2 linked regions of the Solanum lycopersicum genome follow. The protein of the gene in region 1 interacts with the protein of each later gene in a pairwise test. Links are inferred from orthologs where the notes say so. Each region holds a gene or a part of one and is shown in the gene's direction. Other genes may lie near its edges.

Evidence for each region.
Region 2: the proteins of ubiquitin carboxyl-terminal hydrolase 16 (region 1) and serine hydroxymethyltransferase, mitochondrial interact in binary tests that used the Arabidopsis thaliana proteins (3 or more experiments, as listed by UniProt). The link is inferred for Solanum lycopersicum from reciprocal best matches to the Arabidopsis thaliana genes UBP16 and SHM1.

Annotation. Positions count from the first base shown.
Region 1 is NC_090803.1:62,984,453-62,987,908, forward strand, and holds the end of ubiquitin carboxyl-terminal hydrolase 16, read left to right. Parts: intron 1-36; coding exon 37-199; intron 200-291; coding exon 292-412; intron 413-502; coding exon 503-660; intron 661-1,125; coding exon 1,126-1,210; intron 1,211-1,321; coding exon 1,322-1,534; intron 1,535-1,880; coding exon 1,881-1,942; intron 1,943-2,020; coding exon 2,021-2,726; 3' UTR 2,727-2,936; downstream 2,937-3,456. UniProt on the Arabidopsis thaliana protein: Recognizes and hydrolyzes the peptide bond at the C-terminal Gly of ubiquitin. Involved in the processing of poly-ubiquitin precursors as well as that of ubiquitinated proteins.
Region 2 is NC_090801.1:69,138,507-69,142,344, forward strand, and holds the start of serine hydroxymethyltransferase, mitochondrial, read left to right. Parts: upstream 1-714; 5' UTR 715-1,330; coding exon 1,331-1,420; intron 1,421-1,514; coding exon 1,515-1,565; intron 1,566-1,655; coding exon 1,656-1,742; intron 1,743-2,549; coding exon 2,550-2,671; intron 2,672-2,790; coding exon 2,791-2,867; intron 2,868-2,955; coding exon 2,956-3,080; intron 3,081-3,749; coding exon 3,750-3,838. UniProt on the Arabidopsis thaliana protein: Functions in the photorespiratory pathway in catalyzing the interconversion of serine and glycine. Involved in controlling cell damage caused by abiotic stress, such as high light and salt and the hypersensitive defense response of plants.

The DNA of each region.
Region 1 (3,456 bases):
CACCAGTTTTCCTCTCTTTATATGCTCTGCTATTAGGTGAAAAGAAAGGGTGGTGCTTCACATGCGAATTTGAAAGTTTAGTTCTAAAAGCAAAAGATGGGAACTCTCCCCTATCTCCTAGTAGTATAATTTCCCATCTCGAAAGCATCGGGAGCAATCTTGGTAATGGTAGAGAAGAAGACGCTCATGAATTTCTTAGGTATATTTTCTGAATCTGTGGAGGCTGTAGATGTGCAAGTATCTGTTGAACTTCTGAGTTAGTTGTTTATGTCTGTTTTCCTAACTCAACAGGTATGTTATCGACACAATGCAATCCATTTGCTTGAAGGGAGCTGGGGTTACTGCACCTGGCTCTTTTGAAGAAGAAACGAGTCTCATTGGGCTTACATTTGGGGGCTATCTCCGTTCAAAGGTAACTATTGACTTCTAATAGTTGTTAAATGTAAGCTTAATATTTCTTGAAAAAACTTCTGTACTGATTTCTGAAAAATTCAACTGGAAGATTGAGTGCATGAGGTGTGGGGGCAAATCTGAGAGGCAAGAAAGAATAATGGATCTTACTGTTGAAATAGACGGAGATATAGGCACCTTGGAAGAAGCTTTGAAACAATTTACTCATACTGAGACTCTAGATGGTGAAAACAAGTACCGATGTGGCAGGTTCGATCCAATTGTCCCATACTTAGTTATTTTGATGTGTTTTTATGTTATCCTCTGAATTTTTTTCCTTTATATTTCATTTGGGTCATCTCTCACTTTTCTTTTATTAGTGTGTCTAGATACTTTGTGTGCATTAATGTTTCGATTCGGTGTCTAATGGTAGTGTCATTCCTTTGAGTTAAACTGGGTTGATTAAAATTTCATTGATTTGTTTCTTTGTTTTTATCCATCTTGGAAAATACGATGCTATGCCCAAATCCTTCTCATCTCTCTCGATCTAGAGAAAAATGATTATACCAATTGCATTGTACATCTTCACTTCTAGAATCTTCAGTAGTGGCACAAACAGTATGAAATTTCTGTGCATTTGTAGTTTGTTTGGTTATGAGCAGATTGTTCGACTCTTCTGCATGCATGCCATTTTTGCAGCTCATTTTTGGACTAAACTTTTGCTGCATCTTTCAGATGTAAATCGTATGAGAAGGCTAAGAAAAAGTTAAAAGTGGTGGAGGCTCCTAATGTCCTCACAGTTGCATTGAAGAGATTTCAGGTACTGTTTTGAATGAAGTGTTGTCTCCTTCAGTTTTTGATATTGATTGAAGGAAATACTTCCTCGTATCTGCATTTTGTTTGCAATTGCTCACTGTCTGTAGTTTTGCAGTCAGGTAAATTTGGGAAGCTAAACAAGACAATCAAATTCCCTGAGTTTTTGAACCTGGCACCATATATGAGTGGGACAAGTGATAAGTCACCAGTTTATCAGCTGTATGGAGTTGTGGTTCACCTGGACGTAATGAATGCTGCATTTTCTGGTCACTATGTGTGTTACGTGAGGAACTTTCAGAACAAGTGGTATAAAGTTGATGATAGTTCGGTATGTCTCCTAAAGAACTTTTACTTATAATTCACATTTTAAAACTTATTTTACACCTCATTTTATCTTTCTGAATTTCATCCATTGATTGTATACTTTTCTCCCTTCACTTCTGGGCTTTGGGTATTGGTAAGCTTATGAGAAATTAGGCATTTGTTGTCACAAAGTGGTTGTTCCTTTCGGCTTAGAACTACTAAAAGTGCTCTTGATGTGCGTTAATGTGTTCTGTGATGATGAGACTGTGATACTCCATTTCCTCTCGATTCTGCTTCATGCATAGCACACAACATGATGTTTCTTCCATGGTCTTTTTGAGGTTTTGATGTGGTCTTTGTCATATTTGTAGGTTAAATCTGTGGAACTAGAAAGAGTCTTGTCGAAGGGAGCGTACATGCTTCTTTATTCAAGGTAAAATTATAGACGCATCTCCTTCTAGTTGAGGTATGCATTCGATTGTAGCTGACATTTTCTTTTTTCCTTTTTTAGGTGCTCGCCACGGGCCCCGAGGATAATGAGGAGTCTGACAATTCCTCGTGATCCAAGGAGATCAAAGCAACTGACTTGTAAATCAAGATCCCATACAAGAAGTCCATGGGACTCTTCACATGGCGATTCAACTAGTAAAACCTGCAACGGATGTTCTTATCCTAGTCATACAAGTGTGAGGCCTATTAGGTCTATATTTGAGGAGGACTCTTCGAGTGAACAATCATCTTTCTTCTCTGAGCTTGGTTCTTGCAGTACAGACAGCACTAACAGGGATTCAACGAGCACAGATGACTTAAATATTGATATATTTGGCGACTCTGGGGTCTGTTGGAATAGCCTCTGGAGGAGTTCATCTGATTCTGACACATCCTCATCCTCATCTTCTCCTTCCCCTCTGTACTCAAGGCATTCACCCCTTGCTGATTTGGACCGTTATGCTTCTGCTCGTGAAGAGACCAGCTGCAGCGGCAACCCAGAAACAGCTGGGGATGGTCAGGGTTTTTGGACAGGGTTACATGATCGTAACAGTTATACTGGCGTTCCAGAAACCCGCGGAAGGACACCACCTCTCTGTCCCAACCCAACTAAACATTGTAGAAAAGTAGTTAGTAGTCATAGTAGTAGTAATACCGACTCCAGTAGATTAGGTCGGGTTAACCCTTGTGACAAGTCGACATCTCCTGTAACTTGTAGAGATCGATGAGGGGAAAAGGTGCCTTCTGGACATCGGTGTTATAAAGTATTTTTGTATTCTAGAGGGAGGGAAATAAAAGAATTTGGGAGGCACAGGGGGTTTAGGGAGTGGTTGTATGTATTATATACATTGGCTATTAGCTGTGTTCAAAACAACAAGGAGGCCATAATTTTGTCACTCTCTTCCCCTTTAATATAATCTATTCTCCATTTCCTGTAATCCATTGTTTATCAAATGTAGACATACAAGATCTCCTCTACTATCATCCTCGTTCAACAACGCTCTCTAACAAAGGCGATTCTCAACATTGGTAATAATTATTTTAATACATGCATAACTCTATGCTACAAACAGAACATCCCCTAGGTGGGGACAAAAATTGTCAAAAGGGAAGAATAGATGGGAAGATTCCAGTTCAACTTCAGCAACTTTGGTTTGGTTCATCTCACATAGACAAATTTGTATTAAGGGGCCTACAAAAGAAGGTAGCAGAAGATTAAGATTTTTGACATGATGGGCCAAAGGGAATGGGATAGGAAGAGAAGAAAACAAACAAGCAACTTGGCTAAGCATTAATAATATATTGTCACCTACACACACAGTAAGTACTTTTGGGTTATATACTGCTCTACTTTGACCATATTTATTTATTTTTCCCACCACTTTTAACTTTTGTCTCCAATCTTAGCTAAATGTCAGAAACCACATTCTTTTCCAATTTAGAATTAACAGTGTTTAA
Region 2 (3,838 bases), on another chromosome or scaffold:
CTTCTCTCGCTCTGTTCTCTAAGTATCAATATTTCAGAGTGCATTTGATAGCAAAAATACAAGTATTTCAGTTATCTGACTTGAAATCTGGTATGCATTTATTAATTAGTGAGACTATATGTAACTATTTTAAATTATAGGTAGAATTAATAAATATGACAGAAATGTTTAAATAATTAGGTTGTTTTTTTCGTAAAAAATGAATAAATTACAGAAATCACATATTTTGAAGACAAAATTACAATCTATCACTTAAAAGCTTATAATTACAGAAATCCCTCAAACAGATATAATAATATAAGCGTTGAATGCTTATACATTAAAAAGAGGATAGAATATATAAAAGGGAGGGTCTGATACACTAATGGAGAGTCAGATACGCCATGTACATTAATGAAAAAAAATCAGAGCGCAGATACATTAAAAAGAGGGTCGGATACATGCGTTGATACATTAAAAAGAGGGTTAGATACATTAATGAAATTTTTGACTTAAAGAGAAATTTAAGAGATTTCGATAATTTATAAAACTTATAGAAAATAATGATAATAAGTAAACTAAAAGGTGGGATTTGGTCCGAAAAGTGGCTAGTCCATACATGGAAAAGAAATAAAAAGTCAGGCCCAAGTTTGCCTCTTAGACCAGTAAGCCCATGTAAGTTTATAACGGGGCGGGACAAGTAAGTACAAAAAAGCCCAAATAATTCCAGATGAAAAAGAGGGTCTTATCAGTCTCCCTTTCAAAACCTCCGTCGTCGTGCGACGATCGGACCCACGGATTGTCACCGGCGGGAGTACAGTGACCCAAGAAAAGATTAAATTTTCGATAATGAAGGTTTCCCCAAATTCCGTAACCCTAAATCTTGGAGAGCCGCTTTTTGTGGTCAAGAAACTTGTAAGTTGGATAGGGCTTTTATGGCTCCTATTGCAGAATACGATCGCTAAGTAACAATATTTTCCACGGGAGATATGCCCCACAAACAATCGAATTACTGGTCCAATTTTACACTTCAGTGAACAAAAATGATATTATTTTTAAGAATATTATAGTATGCTAGTATCGCTAAGTTTGAATTGATTGTGTAATGAGTAACAATAATGTGCTAGATTAAGATTTTAAATAATGTGGTTTGCAGTTAATGGAGTAACTTTTAACATGAGTAAAAAAGAAATGGATATGGAATGTGAGTAAGGTGGCGCCATAACGACCATAAAATTTATCCAAATTTCTACCACCACCCAAACATCATCCTCCAATCCAGACAAAAAAAAAAATTCACTACAACTCTTTGAAATTGTGTGTTAGCTGGTGCAAAAGGCGGACAGCTGCAATGGCTATGGCAATAGCTCTTCGGAGGCTTTCTGCTACAATTGACAAGCCAGTTAAGAGTCTTTACAATGGAGGCTCTATCTATTACATGGTTTGTATTTATAACTTGTTTATTTATTATTTATAGTAGTACTATGTATTACTTTTCCTTTTAAGTTATATTTACTTTGCGTTGTTTGTTGCAGTCATCACTGCCTAATGAAGCTGTATACGACAAGGAAAAATCCGGAGTAGCTGTAAGTTCATGATGAATTGGAATAGATGTGTTATCTGAACTTTTGCTTGTGTTCTTTTCATTTCTGAGTTGAAATCCTGAATACTTTCAGTGGCCAAAGCAACTGAATGCTCCACTAGAGGTTGTTGATCCTGAGATTGCTGACATTATTGAGCATGAGAAAGCACGCCAATGGAAGGTTCTATCGCCTTCTCTTTTCTTTTTCTTTCCATCTCTCACTCACTGAAGCTTACCGCAAAGGAATTAAGGCTCAGACTGTAGCAAATTAGAACATTTAACTAGTAATACTTGGGAACCTGTGCCAAACATTGATGTTTCAGTTTCAATAAACAAGTCTATATGAAACCTTGCATGCTTTCTCGGCGCACGAGGCTTATCTAGTGTGGTTTACTTTCTGCTGTGATTTACGGGCTATTACACTGGAGCATGGTTTACCCTATGTGCATCCAAAGTGTAGTGGTTGTGGGTTCCCTTGTCATAAAAAAAATAAAGAAGCCTATATGAAATATCTTTTAGATATATTTAGTATCGGTGATGTCCATGTGAGTTTGCCCACACCTCAATTATTCCACCAAATATTGGCTACCTAGGGTCGGTACAGCTAACAGGGGATATTCTGCCCCCAAAGGCTTAGATAGATGGGGAAAAATTACCTGGTGTTGTTTGTGTCGGCTGGGATTTGGCTCCGGGTATGCCATTGTTTTGACTCCCTTTATTGTCCTCCAGACTACACCTTTGAGTAAAACTGCCTTTCAGATTACTTCATGGGGAGTTCCAACTTCCAACTGCTGAAATTAATTTAACTTATCAATCTCCTGTTAAGAGCATTGAATGCTAAGAATTATATAGTATGTCTCATTTCTTTTACTCTTCTTATCACGTATAGCATCCATTCTGCTAGTTATCTTTCTTTTGTTTAAGATGCGAAGAAGCAGTTAGCTATGGAAGTTAAATGTCTTACCTAAGTTCAAAATGCTTTCTTTAGGGGCTCGAACTCATTCCATCAGAAAATTTCACTTCCGTTTCGGTGATGCAAGCAGTTGGATCAGTCATGACTAACAAGTACAGTGAAGGATATCCTGGTGCCAGATACTATGGAGGAAATGAGTACGCACAATATTTGCTATTTTTTAACTCTTAAGACTTTTGTCATTAACCTGTATTTTCATGTCATATATCAACTTCAGATTTTATTTTAACATTATGAAGAATGGGTGGCTGTCCAGGTACATAGACATGGCAGAAACCTTATGCCAGAAACGTGCTTTGGAAGCATTCAGGTTGGATCCTGCAAAATGGGGAGGTAATAAATTTTGTTCTATTATGTTTCATCGTCTAAATAGTGCTAGAAACTAAAAGTACTCATCTCAATTAACCTTTTCTTATTGCAGTGAATGTGCAGCCTCTATCAGGATCACCCGCTAATTTTCATGTTTACACTGCATTATTAAAACCTCATGAGAGAATCATGGCTCTTGATCTTCCTCATGGTGGACATCTTTCTCATGGATATCAGGTGCTTCTATATTTTGTTGTTTCTCGTCGTATATGACTGGTTTCTGTTGTTGCAAACTAATACCATTACTTAAAAAAGTGTGGGCACTTAAGAAGCTTGCACTAGTATTTGTGGTGTAAATACTGTAATCCTTCTAGGGTCCTTTGTAATAGGCAATTAATGTTTTCTGGGCTTCTATGAGGTGCATTTACTACTTATGTTCCTCTGCCTTACCATTCTCGTGGATGAGGAATTTCACTCGGACAAAGGCCAACATCCCATAAATTTTATCTGATATGTGAGTAAAGGACAATTTAAACTGAAATGCTGTTAAATATGGCTGTATGCAATTTCTGTCAGGTTGTTTTATATATTGCATTGATCTTTGATAGTTAAAATGTTCTGTATGCTTTTCCGCTTTAGAAGAGCAAACTTTTCTGCTTTAAAATCACGCATGATCTTAAAAATGGAAGTTATTGCTGGTAAAATTTGAGAAAAATGAAGTTAAAACACATGTGAGTTGATGCATATATGAGTCCATGTCCCAATTATGTTCATACATTCCATACAGATCTGGAGTTAGAGTCAGCTTATTTTTGGAAAACCTTGATTTCTTCTTTCTAGTGCAATTATTGTTTGATTTAATTTTAGTTACATTAATACAGCATGTCTTATGTTTATTAATCACAGACTGATACAAAGAAGATATCTGCAGTCTCTATATTCTTTGAGACAATGCCATACAGACTCGATGAGAGCACTGGATATATTGACTATGA